Struthio camelus: one gene and its partner. The protein of the gene in region 2 purifies or fractionates together with the protein of the main gene of each other region. This does not show direct contact. Links are inferred from orthologs where the notes say so. Each region holds a gene or a part of one and is shown on either strand. Other genes may lie near its edges.

The links.
Region 1: the proteins of GLS (region 2) and SIRT5 purify together in Homo sapiens (affinity purification with western blotting; 3 studies listed by BioGRID and IntAct, with this or other methods). This does not show direct contact. The link is inferred for Struthio camelus from reciprocal best matches to the Homo sapiens genes GLS and SIRT5.

The regions. Positions count from the first base shown.
Region 1 is NC_090943.1:97,878,057-97,886,281, forward strand, and holds the start of SIRT5 (NAD-dependent protein deacylase sirtuin-5, mitochondrial), read left to right. Parts: upstream 1-5,006; 5' UTR 5,007-5,117; exon of another isoform or gene 5,118-5,424; intron 5,425-6,413; 5' UTR 6,414-6,431; coding exon 6,432-6,552; intron 6,553-7,878; coding exon 7,879-8,012; intron 8,013-8,225. Other genes in the region: kinesin-like protein KIF13A, read left to right, coding at 51-337. UniProt on the Homo sapiens protein: NAD-dependent lysine demalonylase, desuccinylase and deglutarylase that specifically removes malonyl, succinyl and glutaryl groups on target proteins.
Region 2 is NC_090947.1:14,526,056-14,533,169, forward strand, and holds the start of GLS (glutaminase kidney isoform, mitochondrial), read right to left. Parts: upstream 3,052-7,114; 5' UTR 3,037-3,051; coding exon 2,717-3,036; intron 2,081-2,716; exon of another isoform or gene 2,035-2,080; intron 1-2,034. UniProt on the Homo sapiens protein: Catalyzes the first reaction in the primary pathway for the renal catabolism of glutamine. Plays a role in maintaining acid-base homeostasis. Regulates the levels of the neurotransmitter glutamate, the main excitatory neurotransmitter in the brain.

The DNA of each region.
Region 1 (8,225 bases), on a different chromosome or scaffold from region 2:
TGCTAATGAAATTTCCGACAATTAATTCTGTGCATTTATTTTCATTGAAGGGAAGCACGATGGAACTGTAAAAGGCAGAGAGTACTTCCGCTGCAAACCACGACACGGTGTGTTTGTTCGTCCAGGACGCCTCAGTAAAGCACCAGCTTCCTCAAAGAAATCAAGTAGCACTTCACGATCTCAGGCATCTTCCACTTCAGAGAAACGGAGAAGTTCTCTACTTCAAGGGTCATCATCTGCTTCTAAAACAGGAGGAGATGTCCTCTGTCATTCAGGAGATGCGGCGGCTTCTGCTTTTTCTAGGAAGCAGGAAAACAGGAAATCTTGGATTAACTAAACTGCAGTATTTTTGCACTTACTACACACATCGCTGTGTAGAAAACTATGGATTTTTGAAGCTATTGTACATTTTAATCTGTCCATACCGAATGTGTACTCTCTAGAGTCCTTGACTTAATTCCCTAATTTTTTATAAATAATATATATATTATATATATATGAATGTGTATCTATAGTTTGTCTGCCACGGAGCAGATATGGCTGCACACTAAAATACAGTTAAAGCTGATCTGTAGATAACTGAGGTACTGGACTGTTTGTTACACAACAACTTGGGAGATATATTTTAAACAACAAAGAAAATATTTTATTGTGGAAAAACAAGGATGTAAATCCGTATTTGAAAAACAAAAAAAACCACTACGGTTTGCTGTTCTTAATTACCAAAGAACTTGTTTTAGACTGACACATTTGCTGTTTATATCTTTCTATTGTAAGTGTTTTAACTCATAGCTTGGTGCCATGTTTCTTTTAGTCACTGGGCACCATGCTGCCTTATGTTCTGTGTTTAAGCACACTGAAATATCTGACTGCTTCATATTTTTTTGTCTTCCTAGAGGCCTGCCACTGTGCTGACTTGGCATTGCATTGAAAAGACTAACAATGCCTGAAGCTGTAAGTCTGGCATTTCATAAGTTAACATAAGCCAGCTGGGCAGTTTGACTGCAGAAACAGTATTACTGCAAGGGTATGAGAGGACAACACTGTGAGGTTTTGGGTGTTTTTTTTTGGTGGGGGAGGGAACAGGGAGACAAAGAAGCAGTAAATGGATCATGACTGCAAACTTTGCACTTGTTACTTGCTGGTTATTATCAAGATGAAATAGAGCCTGCTAAAGTAATCTTAACCTGTAAAGTTTATTTTAATAATGGGAATAATGGAGGGATTTATGTATGGTGCTCATGAATTCCTAAGAAGGTTGTTCCACATGTAGATACTGTAGATGCCTGTACAAGTGTTCTGGTTATTTGTAAAGTAACATGGTAAAAATGAGTGAAGTGAATGGCCTGCTGTATCTGTTCTTTGTTTCTTAGCAAGTGAATGAATGAGATATCTGGGACCTTACTGAAAAGCTGCTGTTTGTTCTTTGATTGTTGTGTACAGTAAGCGGACTCTAGTATTTTACTATTTGCTGTAAAGAACTGTAATTTATATACTGCCATACTGTATTTAAGTGGTACAAACCTTTTGTGTGTTAGAATACAGACTGTTTACTTGGGATTTTAAAGAAAACGTTTTGCTTGTATTTGATACAATTAGGTTTAAACTTGATGCTGTTACTGGTTCATGGTGCTCAGATTCAAAGTACTTTGTAAATACGCTGAAGGATAAGATGCTCAGAGTAGAAGACCGGATGGTATTAATCCGTTTTATCACTGACCGGCCTAAGATGAGAATAGCTCATGGGGATACACCTCTGTTCCTCAGCTGCTGGTTTTCCCCCCCCTTCAGAGGTGGGGGAGCGGTGCTGTGCAACTCCTGCCAACGGGTGGCGCGGGTCAAGGGGAGCCTGGACACGTTCCTAGGAGCTAGGTTCATTACTAACTATGTCAAAGCCCCAACTGAGCAGAACACAGTTGGCAGCTGGTGGGGGAAATTGAGTGTGTTTGCCCTTGACACTGCTTTTGGCGACTCTGAGCGAGGATTCTTATGTGCTTATGGAATTGATTTTGGTGGGACAAGCATCTTTGCAGATCCTTTCATATTTCTGATATTCACCTAGGGTTGCTCTCACTGCATTAATGATACTGCTGTTGGAGGAAATTACCGTAATAAAAGAACCACTGTATGCAAAAGCATTTTATCAAGGACAGCAGGTGATCCTACAACTCTGCCAAGTATCTACACTCAACCCACCATCTTGAAATTAATTTTAGATGTCACTTCAATCTTCCTAAAAATAGTCTCCCACACATGCACCCACTCTGTGTGTGTCTCTCTCACTGTCTCACATACTCGCTCACTCACCCAGATATATTTCTCTTAGGACAGCATAAACAATTTTGAAAGTTAATGGGGTTATTTTCTTAGGGCAAAGATGTAGTACTTCTACCAGGTTAGCATCAGACACACCAGGCTGTTCATTGTTTTAGGCTGTTGAGAACATAGAATACATGGTTGCTCAAGAAACACTGGAATAATTGTGCTTCTTTTGGTATACAATCTATAAATGCCAGAGAAACCTAAACAAGCCAACCTATTTGTGTACTATACACATTTGGCATAACTTATGCTCTCATGGCTTCTCTTACTATTGAAAGACCTGTACTTCTGCGAACCTTCCATGCTGACATGTCCTGCCCGAGGTTAATGTAAAGTTAGGATGAACTTACTTAATGAGTGCAATGCAATAATGTGAAAATGCAGGCATTTTATTTGATTTGCTCCTCAAACTTTGTTGCTTAAATAGAGAAGCACTTTTTCTATTAGTAATGTCAGAGTAACAGTTTGGTGTATTGAACTTCATAATCAACTGAAGAATGCGGTGAATTTTGGCCATGGTGACTGTCCAACTGCGTATTGTTTTTCTTTGGTTTTTATAAAATATTATCTTAACTAGCATCTAATAGACACTGTCTAATAAGCAGAATATACAATCCATGCTAAGCCCTAGGTTTAAAAATAAACCAACTGCAAATATAATACTGAACAATACAGAGTAGAACCAGCCTGTCATTTGTCTGAGCTGGCAGAACAAACCTGTCATCTCAGTGAGTTGGTTAATCCAAATAGTATTATGTAATTTTAATCATCAAGATGGTTACAGTGTTAAATCAGATCGTACTGGTCTTTATCTTGTTTTCTGAATTTGCTACTATTTTTTTTTTTCAAGCTAGGTGCTTTCATGAAGATTCAGCCAAAGCATTCAGAGAACTGAAACAGCTGATGCACCCCAAAAACCAAAAGCACAATGTTTAATCAGTACTTCTCATTGTTTCAAATATTCCCCTGCAAAAGACTTCCTTGACATTTGCAACTGAAGGCAGGATATTAAATGCTGTGACGTAAGTAAAGAGTAGCCCCGTGAAAAGTGTAACGAATGAAAGGTAGGCTGTAAACCAGGGGGACCAGCAGCTGTATGTTCTCTTCCCCTACACTGTGCATAAGTGCTTCTGACGTTTTGCCTGTCCCTCCTGCTTCCCACTGATAACTCTTTATGTCCTGCAGGTACCGGCTGGGTCAGAGGCAAGAGCTGCTGCCTGGTTGTGGGGGCTGATTAGCAGGGTGTAGGCTTGAGCAGTACTTCTGCTGTAATGGCAGAACTTGCATTTCAATCTGTCTTATGATGGGGTGCACGTTTTAGGGGACTTCTCATCTGTTGAGCTGAACGTTTTGAAATGATATCTCAAATTGATTGAAAAGAAGCTGAAGAGAATGAAAATTTGGGAAGGGTGGAAAGAAAGAGGATGGATGAAAGCAATTGCTATGGCTTGTTTCTACAGGAAAACAAGGTACAAACAGCTTGCTTCCTAAAGACTGTGGAAACTGTGAATTAAGCTGTCTTTTTTTTTTTTTTTTTTTAATGTTGTGAATGCCTAAGTGGTGTTAGTCTAGCAGTGTACAGGAGTCTTGTTGATTAACATGCAAACTGTTAATGCCTGAGACTGGACCTCAAACTGATGACTCTGGAGAAGCATCTAGCTTTTCAAATACACTTGTGTATAATTTAATCTAATATGTGCTAATTCTGACATTGCACAAGCCACTAAAGTAGAAAAGGAAAAGTACATGGCAGTGTTCAGAGGGAAGCTGTGATTCCACGGAAGTTGGTTGCCCTCCATCCTCTCCTGCCCAGACCCTGCCTTAAAACCAAATGTGGACTCTGGTCAGTCGCCCTAATGAAGTGTATTTGGAATACACAACCCTACCAGAATACTTGAATGTTACATTTCCTTGTGCAGCCCTGCAAGAATCAGCATGTTACATAGGTAATTTTTAAGAACGTGGAGAGAGTGTGATTATATAGTCTTATTAGAGAAACGCAGACATGGCTTTGAAGAAGATAAAATATTTTTAGTAGATAGAAAAAGGGAAAAAGTGTGCTTCCTATTTATGCTGTTAGGCAAACTGAAGCGGTACGAAAAATGCTTAGCCATAACGTGTATAAGGTTTGAGTGTATTAAGCTTCAGGAACTGAACCTAAGGCGGGGGGCTGCAGCGGGCGGTTCTCTGCCCGGCCGGCTGTGCTGCGGGGGCTCTCCCCTTGCTGGCGGCTGGGCGCCCCGGGATGCGCGGTCCCACGCAGCCCTCGCTCCAAGGTGGAGCCACTACGGGATTAGGGGAGTAACATTATTAAACGCCATCTGGTAAATGGAAAAACGCGACCGCTGGCTCAGACTCTCTGCTAGGTTGCTGAGAGCAGGGCTTTAAAAAGGGGGAAGGAGGATTATCCTTTCCCCGCTCTTGGGCGCCAGGCTGTGGCCCAGCTTGCCTCTTTGGCCTTAGCGCCTAAACGTTTTGTGGTACATAACCAAGAGATAGCGCTGTTCAAATACACTTGCATGGCAACGTCATTGCAAAACCTCGGCCTTTAGCTTTGCCGGCATGCATTTCTAATTTATTTATTTATTTTTTTCTTTAAATTCCTCCCCCAAGCGCCGCTTCCAGAGCCACCGCGCACGCAGAGGCGATCACGTCGCTGCGCCGGGAGCTGCGGCAGCGCCGCCCCCGGGGCGGCCCCGCTGCCGGCGGGCGGGACGTGCCGCTCCGCACGGATCGGCCTCCGCCGCCGCCGCCTCCCCGCCCGGCCGCGGCCTCCGCTCGGGCTCGCCGCAGAGGTGGGTGCGCGGCGGCAGCGGCGTCCTGGGCCTCGCTGCGGCGCCGGGGGCGGGGAGCGGGCGGCTGCCGCCGCGGCGCCGGGGTGAGGGCCGCGCGCGGTCGGGGAAGCGGCGCTGCGAGCCTGGGTGCTGGATTCCTGCCTCCTGCGACCTCGGAAGGGAGAGGGGAGGTCCTCTCCGACGGAAACCTCGGCGAGCACACGTCCTCTAGAACTGGAGAATATTTCGGTGGCTTTTAAATGCCCAGGAAGGATTAAAAGAGAGGGAGGGGCCGGACGAATGCGTTTTGCCTGTGGTGAGCATAAATGTAAAAACGCTTTTCTGCGCTTCCCTTTTACTTTTGTATAGCTGAGAGCACGTACGTTCCTGATAGGACGAACCCCGTTTAGCAGCCAAGAGGACGTTAGATGATGATATATGCGCGTTGATTTCCTTCACGTTGAATCGCTTGCAAGAGTTGCACGATGCGGAGGGGGTTGTACGCTGCGGGTGCAAAAGAGGTGGCGGCCTCCTGTCCTGAGAGCAGAACTGCTACAGTTCAAAGGCAGGAATTGGCGAGGGGTCGGCACGGCGCTGCCGGACGCCGGCTGCTTTGCCCTGCCTCGCCGGCTCAGGCCGAAGGCACCTCTTTCTTTGCCTGAAGAGCCCTGGACCGCAAAGTCCCCAGCCAAGGCAGAAGCTGCAGTAGCTTTGTCCCGTTCTGAAGCCTCTCTAGCATGTGCGCGTTGATGTCTGTCTGCTTTTCATCTTTAAAAAAAAAAAAAAAAAGGAATTAACAGTCCCACCCAGGAAATTACTCTTGCATAAGTCTGCAAATTTAAAAGCATCGCGTTAAGTTAAATATTGCACAGAAAATTGTAGCAGTGTGTTTTTATGCTGTAGTGAATGTATTTAAGGGCTCAGCAGTCTTTGCACAGACCCAATTTTCTTCCGCTCATTCCTAACTGGAAGCAAAACGAAGCAGAAGTGGTCACTCCAATTTTGGATCTCACGTTTGTGACATCTGCGTTTTGCAGCACAGAGGGAGAATTCAAAGATGCTATGATAGCCTTTATCTCCAAAAGAAAGAAAAGGCAGACCTGTTAAATCTCAGCAAGTGTTTTGTTTTATCTTGCAATTAAGAAATACTGTGGTCATGAATACGTCTCATACATAAAACTTCACTTGGCTGAATGAAGTGCAGGAGAAAAGCATGAATAGTGTTTATACTCCCCTCTTTATTTGTGATACAGAGACCCTACAGGAATATGCTCACTAAATGGCTCACTTGTGTTTCATTTATTGTATTTTCTTCAGATAAAGCACTTTGAAGTGATGCTGATGAGTCTCTTTCAGTTTACCACTAGAAGGCTGGTTTCCCAAGCATACTGTGGACTTAAGCCTTTTTCTTCAAAGAAACAGCGGTTTTGCTTGGAAATGGCTCGTCCTAGTTCAAGTAAGATATACATTTGTTTCTTTTAGTATATTAAACGGGTGTTAAACTAGACTTGAAACTCCAGAGAGTTTCATGTAATAGGCAAAGTCTATAGTTTAATTCAAAAACGTAGGTTCTTTTAAGGTTTAGGAAAGTGTGAAGTTGATTTTTTTTCTAGTGGGTGAAATTTGTCAACCATACCTATAAACTTGTATGGTTCCAAAAACCCTCACATAGTTGCAGTCAGTGTAGTTGCCTGTTGATGTTTTTAGTATCTGAAATTTATACACGTAAGTGTATACTTTCCTTTTCATGTTCCTAATGGGTATTGAAATTCACTCTCTCGCTTCTTTATGGAGGAGAATTATGGAGGGCCTCAAGCGTTTATAACAACTCAGGAGCAGGGCGTTAGGTAACTCCAGAAGCTTTGTTTAGTCTAGTCTAGTCGTGAAGTCTTTTTTGTTTTTACTCTGGGGTTGGTCAAACAGTGGAGCGGGTAGCCCAGGGAGGCTGTGGAGTCTCCGTCCTTGGAGACATTTAAAATCTGACTGGACAAGGTCCTGAGCAACCTGCCCTAGATGGTCCTGCTCTGAGCAGGGGGTTACGTGCAATCACATTAACTAGACGATCTCCAGAGGCCAGCCTCAGCGATTCTATGATTCTAGAATGTGTTGCTTTAAAGCTAACATCCAAGAAAGACTGAAAGAGGGCTTTTTGTCTCTCTATATTTTCCTTTTTGATCTTGCTTTGGCCCTTACTAAACTGGGAAAGAAATCTCCCATCTTTCTCCCAAGTTGGTTTACTGTACAGGGAAAAATGTAGGGAATATATATTAAAGATAGAAAATACAATTTCGAACCTACGAAGTGGGCAAGATGTTTTGGAAGGAAACATTTTTTCCCCAAATTACCATAATTTTCAAGGTGATATTTTGTAACTAAATGTTTGTGAAGACTAGATTTCTTTCATCCCAGGATCCTACCTTACAGTTAGGAAGCAAACTGTTCCTGGGTGGTGGTGGCTGCTGTTGTCATCATTGCACCATCTAGCATAAGGTTTTAGTTTAAGACTTCTATCTTTCAAATATAGAATATATTCACAGTTCAATGCATATTGCCCCACTGCGTTTGTTTGTAAGTATTTCTGAGCATCTCAAAGAAGTGCCCTTCTCGTTCCAGTATACAGAAGCTTAGAAAAAAATTACTATTCTGAAGGTAAAGTTATGGTAGGTGTATGTGGTAGCCATTTCTGGATGCATACGTTTGCCAGTACTACCCAAATGACCTCTTGAATAAAAGTGCAAATGTTTGAACAGCCTTTTTTTTTTTTCCCCTCCTCAACGTTTAGATATGGCTGATTTTCGAGAAGTGTTTGCCAAAGCAAAGCACATAGCCATTATTACGGGAGCTGGTGTTAGCGCTGAGAGCGGAGTTCCTACCTTCAGAGGGGCTGGAGGTTTCTGGAGAAAGTGGCCAGCACAGGTAGGTACTCATGGCGCGTGTCTGTTTTTTTTAATCAGTCAAGTAGGTAAGTACAATGAGTCAGGAAAACCTAGGTACCTTAAAGTGTTGAAGTGCTCCCAACAGTGTTTTGATAGTGACAGAGCTCTCCCTACAGTCGTGTTTGTGTGTCTTCCCCATGCCCTGTTGTGGCTGCTTTGTGCAGCTGCAGCTTCCTTTTTGCTGTTTGGTTTA
Region 2 (7,114 bases):
CTCTCTTTGCACAAGACTGTTAAGCAAGCAAACAAGGAAGAAAAATCTCAGTTCTGTCTTTTGACATCGCAGGTTATTCCAGTTTCCCAGAACCATGACTTGATAACAGAAGAGCAAAAGAGCAAAAAAAGATTGTTGTCCGCAATCCATCTGCAAAACAACTCCAGTGCGAATGACAGGATGGCAAGGCGCTGGAATCGGAACACAGACTGGACTAACTCAGACCGGTTGCCAAGTCAGTCCAGCATCCGAGAGATCTTCACGTTCCTTCCAAATCCTACACCCTGCCTGAACACAGCAATGACTTCCACATGCTCTGTACCACATAGAGATGCTTAAGGAAGACCGTCACGATCCTGCATTGAGGAAAAGAAGAACGAAAGCGTCCAGCAGTTTGGCTGATCCACGTTAGCCAGAAGTTTGGCTAATGGGCCACCAGGAATTCCTGCACAGCCTGAACTGAAAAGAAACTGTTTTTGTTCCTAACTAAATGCACAGCTATCCTTTTTTTCAATGCTTTAGATAATTGTTCTTTGTATATTTGGAGGCAAGGCTCAAAGAACAAGCATCTGACTTTCAAACACATCCGGTTGTCAAAGGAAAAAAAATTTTTTTTAAGTGTTTAATCGGTTCATGACCGTACAGCTTTTCCAAATGTATTAGAAATAATACAAGTTCTGTCAATTAGGGAAATAGTTATAAATACTCAGTTTAAGAAAACATCACCTTTTGGATATATCACCTTTCCAACATAAGGTCTGCTATGAAATACATATTATTTAATAATTCAAAGAAAACCCTTTACAGTGGGTTTTTTTTTTGAAGTTTTTAGTGGCACTGTATGTATTTCTCATTGAAAATGAAAGAATAAACTTTATAAACCACACCTACTTGAACCACCTTTGAAGTAATTTTTTTGTTCCAAAACATTATGCATAAAACTAATTCAAACCACAGGCTTCATATACAACAATGTACCAAACAATATAATCTAATAACAATAAAATATATATATGATATGTATTATCATGCATGGTTACATAATCTGACATGCATGTGTATACACTTTTTTTTTTAAAAGCAGTTTGACAGCAGAAATTACACTTGAAGCCTTTAAAGAAGGCAGTATGCCACTGAAACAAAAGGCTTGAACCAAGCCAAGCAGCAAAATATTTGGTGGGAGGAGGGGGAAAAGAAAAACAAGATAGATTCTTTCCTCTGCTACCAGACTGGACGAGTGAGTACAAGCTCATACTAAAAAACGCTCCCAAAACTAAAACTATTACCAAGCTAAGGGCTGAAGCCTTCCAGACCGACCTCGTAGAATCTCTTCCAGACTGCCTCGTAGCAGTAGGTTAACAATGACTTCTCTCACTGTCAAAGCACCATACCCTGTCTTGGTCTTACTCCCTCCCTTTTTTGCCTTTCTTCTTCCAGCTAATACATGCAGCAAAGCATGGGAAAGAAGCTTGGTTTTACAGATTTTATTTACACCTCCCTATACAGGGCACAGGGAAGTCGACACGTGGGCAGTCTGTGAGAAAGCCAAGGGGCAGGTCCCAAACAAGCATGAAGGGGATGGGTCTTCACAGGGCTTGCAGCTAGGCTGTTACACTTTTTCTAAGAGGTTAACAAAGATACAAAGTGTACACAGGCTCAAAAAAGCTAAGGAACAAACTAGGAGGCAAAAACAATTTTTTTTTTTCCCAAGAGACTCTTTGCAGAACTGCATAACGCTGGAGGCTAACAGAGCATTCAAGAGAGTCATCGCTATGTTTGCCTTGTCATTATCCTCTGTCCCAGGTAGCTGCTGCTGGTCATCACTAGGGACACAAACGGGAGTCGCTATGCCTGCCCCGACCCATTCTTGCAGGAGTATTTGAAGTTCTAGCTGAAGGAATACGAACTTCAAGGTATCATTCTCACACCTTCACGTACCTTTGTCACCTAGGCACAAATCGGGACCTCCCTGGCAGAGGGACACAGGCTGTAGCGCCCCGTAAACGCTTGCCCGTACCGCCACCTGGCACCTACCCCTAAGCACACCAGACGCGGATAGGCATGCTGAAGACACCGCTGTACAACTCCCAAGGCAGACCTACGCCGCTACCTCAACTACTACTGGAAGATGACGCAGCTCTAACTTCTCGCGAAAAAGCACCTTATGCAAACAGCAGCCCTAGGGGGAAAAAAAAAACAAACACACACCACCAACAAACAACCACAACGCCCCACCGGCCTCCTCCCGGGGACGCGGCGCCGACCCCGAGCCCGGCGGCGGCGCCAGGACGGGGAAGCGACTTCGAGCACGTGCGCGCGGGCACGGCGCGTGGGGGGGGGGGGAAGGGAAACGATGCTGCCCCGCCCCACGCGCGCACATCTCCTGCCCGCCTGCGGCTACGCTCCTAGGCCGCCTTTCACAGCCGGCTGGACCCCACCGACCTCCGCGGCCGCCTCCCGCGCCAGCGGCCCACGCAGAGCGGCCCGAACACCGCGCGGGCACCGCGACGCCCGCCCCACGCCCCGCACTCGCCGCGGCCGGCGGCGGCAGGACCCTGCGGCGGCCGCGGAGGAGGGGTGGGGGGGGGCGCGGAGGGCGGAAGGGAGGGGGGGGGCGGCGATGCCCCGCACCTGCCCCGGGCCCCCCCGCCGGCCCCCCGCGCAGGGCGCCGCTCACATGGCGCCGCCGCCGCACGCCCCGCCCCGCCGCACTCACTTCTCGCCGCCGCCGCCTCCGGCCAGCTCCTTGCCGCCGCCGCCGCCGTGGTTGTTGTTGGGGCCGCCGGCGGGGGAGGGGGGCTCGGCGGGGGGCGCCGGCGGCTGCTGCGCCGCCTTCCCCGGCTCCTCCAGGGCCCCCTCCGAGCGGGTGCAGAGCCCCCGCGCCGTCGGCAGCGCCGGGCGGCGGCGGGAGGCGGGCGGGCTGGCGCCGAAGGCGGCCAGCGGCGGCGGGAGGCGGGCGGGGCCGGCGGCGGGGCCCGGCGGCTGGTTGAGCCGCAGCAGCTCCCGCAGCAGCGCCGAGCGCCACAGCCGCATCATGCTGCGCCACTTCCCTCCGCCGAGTGCCCCAGCCGGCCGCCTGCCGCGCCGCTCGCGCCGCGCCGAGCCCGCCCCCGCGCCTCCCTCATTGGCGGCGCCCGCCTAACTGTCAGCCAGCCGGCTCCCTCATTGGCCAGCGCCAACGCCACTCCGGCTCGGCCACGCCCCGGCGGCAGGCCGGGCCGCCGCGGTGCACCGGGGTCTGGGCGCCTGAGGCCGCCTGCGCGGGGCGGGAGCTCCGCCGGGAGCCGGCGAGAAGGGCGCCAGCTGGCGGAGGAGGGGGCGGGCGAGGACACGGCAGCGGGCCGCCAGCGGCCGGGCCGGGCCGCGCCGCCACCATTTTCGGGCGGCTGCGGCGGCCCCGAGGGCGAGGCCGGGGCAACGGGGGCACCTGCGGGGGGCGACATTCCGTGCGGCGCCGCCGGGCCTCCTCGCAGCGCCCCAGCGCCCGTTTCTACTCCCGTTTCTTGTGAAACGCGCTAGGAACGGGCTTGGCTCGTGTCACGTTGGCGTTGCCATGGTTACAGCCCCCCCCCCTTCCCCGAGCAGAGAGAGAAGAGCTGGGCAGCGGGACGAACGGAGCGCGGCGGCCGGCGCGCAGTCAGAGCGAAGGCCGCGCCGCCCCTCCTTCGCTCCTTCGCAGCCCGGCGCCGGCCCAACCGCCGCCTGCGCGGGCGGCGGCGCGGCGCGTGACGTCACGCTGCCGCGGGCCGGAGCGGGCGTCGCGGCCGGTGCGGGCCCGGCCGGGCCTCGGGGAAGGAAACCGCTGCTGAACTGGGGGCTGCCGGCCCGCATCCCAGCGGCCTGGGTCGTGACCAAGGACGCTGGAAGAGGAGATCTCTCTTGGCCGGCGACGCCAGCATGGGAGCCCGTGCTGGGACTGCTGTCGCTTTCCCCCTTCTCAGGGGCCGTCAGGCTCTGAGCAAAGGCGCTTTCAGAGCCCGGTGCAACTACTGCTGAATTTCCTTACAAGCAACTTAACTCGTGCGCTGAGGCTCACTCCTTGTTCTGTCTTCGTGCTCCGGGCAGGGCTGTAGTGCTGCGTCAAAACGAGCTTGCTGCAAACCTTATCGGAAGTGCTTCACGCTAAACATACTGGCGTTTTATTTTCTACCTCCCGAACCAACAGTTGTCTAAGCAGAGTAAATCGCTCTTAAAGAACCATGTAAAACACAAGTTGGGGTTTTTTTTTTGTTAGTTGCTTGTCTATGCACTTAAAGTTTTACATAATTGTAATAAACGTGTGTTCAGAAGAGCCTTTGCTTGTGCTTACACCGTAGCACAAATGCCCACAGGAGTTTCCTGTGCTAATAAATCATCACAACAGCCATGAGAATTTTTGGAAGCGGATTCAAAGAGAGCTGATAATCTACGCCTGTAAAATGAGCCTCAGTGCACTAGCGGTTTTACTTCCCACTGAACAAGGAAACTTGAAATATCACTGTGGGATGTGTAATCCTGTGTTACAGTTACCTCACATACAAAAATGCAAAGTACCTACAGTTCTCACATATTTATTGTGTTACCTATTACATTTCCTGGAATGAACTCCGGGTTTCCATTTGCTAAGGCTGCTTGGCAAGCCAATAACTGCATCTTTCATCATGCAGCCCAATGTTATTATTTCTCTTAAAGAAACATTTTTAAAATTCCGTTGTTCGAAATACTCTAAACAAAGAAGAGAAGCATCTCCAGCCCCTTTTCCCTTCTCTCGGCGGGGACCACTATTCTGAGATCAGAGACAGCAAGCACCTTTCCACTCGGTCACTAATTGAACACACAGCCTTACAAACACTTAAAAGATTCCCTGCTGATTTTCATTGCCAAGGTGAAATTTTGTTGCGACAGCAGCACTCTTTCACAAACCAGCTGGTGAGCAACTGACCTAGTTGAAAAACTTGGCTAATTCCTCCCTTATGCTATAGGGGGGAAGAAGAGGAAGAATGCAAAATGCAGTGATCTGGATCTTTCTGTTTATTTTTCTGATTTCTGTTCAGAACATTATTCTGGGGAAGGAAATAAAAAAGGGAAGGAAAAAAAAAGTACTACATTAACAATAAAAATACTTCCCTCATAACAGTACCCCGTGTTACACATTTCTGACCCTATATTAACTCTTTTATTTTACTCATTTCCTTTTTTTTACTTCATATGCTATTGCTTTATTCCTTTATTTAATCTTTTAGTATCAGCTTCACATCACTAACCTCCCAATGCAAGCATTCCTCATCAAACTTTCTCTTGAAACTTCCTTCAGGAAATGAATCCTCAACTTCTCTCCCTGGAAATTGCCCTGCATGTGTTTCAGCTTTTCAGGGCAGAGAATGCAAGTTGTTCATTGTGTAACTACAAATGCACGACTCGGGAACAATGCAAATGATAAATATAGTTTCAGATTCACAGAGTTCAAGGGCAAGTGACTCATTCCCTCTTCTGAGAGCTTTTGCTGCATACTTCAGGCCACATCTACTTTGTCTTACTATTACTAACCTTAAGAAGCTCCACACAATGATTTTCTTCCCTCCTCCCAAAGGCACAGATATACTAGAGATTCTCAGTTTAAAGGTGGCTTTTTTTCCCTTCTAAAATAGGCGCTAAGAAACATAGTAAGGATAACATCAGAAATAGTCATTGACTTGTGAAAAGAGTTATTATACATTAAACCTATTAAACTTACTCAGATTTTTGTTTTGATCCAAATGTTAGATTGGGCTAGCCCCTATCACCGTGAAACCCCTCTCAGACTTCCTTTTGAACAGAATATTACTTGTCTTTTTTGAAATAGAAGATGGGCCATCTGCTCTGCCATTATGTGTTTCACAGAGCATCCCAAGAGAAACAGAAAATTACAAAACCAGTTTCCAGATAATGCAAAGGAATTGGTAATTAAAATTCTCTGTAGTTTTTATTTTCTGAGTTGATTACACAACTGGCAGTAACCATAAGCAAACAATTCTTTTTTAATTTCCACAATTACACATGTATCTTTGTAAGACAGAAATTAAGAGAGACTATTTGAGACGACATGGTTCCTCAATAAAAACAAATACGGATCTTTTAAATGGGCATTTTTTAAAGTATTTTCCTTAATTCCTAAGTATTGTAGAAAAATATTCACAGTATATCCCTCTAAAAATAATCCATATTTCAGAGACGCTTTCTTTCTAAAAGCGGTATGGGTTAATCCTCTGGGAGAAAGGGCTCTGAAAAGCAGGTGGAAAGAGGTCTTCCCAGTTCAAGTACATACACAAATAACAGCTTTCAGGAAGGTTAAATCCTCCCATCAGATCGGCAAGGCAGATCTCAGATAAGCAGCAGAAATTAAGGATTATCTTGACTACGACATGAACTGTTTACTTTGCTATTTTAAATGGTTATGCTGGCTTCATTTCATTTGTTGCTGGGTAATGCTTTCGCAAAAGAGAACTAAGGACCAGACGCTGCAATCTTGACGCTATTCAAGTATTTCTACTGATTCAAGCAATGCTGTTTCTAAAATTTCGTTTTCCTTTTGTGAGGCTACCACACTGAACACATGAATAACATGTTGACACTGATTCAGACAGAAGGTGTTCTGTTGCAAGAACTGTTCCATACAGGGTTGTACAGAGGATACGGAACGGCCTTCTCTGAGCCCAGAAGCGTAAGCAGTTAACTAAAGTTACTATTTAATCTAAAGAAACGAGGGCCGAAACATTTAGGCATAGTAGCTCAGAAATCCAATGAGGAGGAAAGATTCGGAGGAATCATTTACCTGAGAGGTAATAATTGAGAGAGTAACCTGAAGTGACAAGCAATGGCAAAAATTCAAAACCATCTCCCCCAAGTCTAGCGATCAACCCGTCAACGATCTCATCATCAATGAGATCATAGCTCATTTTTCAACACCCTCATTCCAGGCAAATATAGACAGTAATGAATGAATTCAAGGGAGAGCAACAAAAATATTTAGAGAATTCGCTGAGACAGACATGAAGAGAGACTAAAAGGGCCAAAGACATTCCTAGCACGGCTAAGAGACAACATACGATCTTCTGTTAACGTGCATGACTGAGATGAAACAAGTAAGAGACGGATG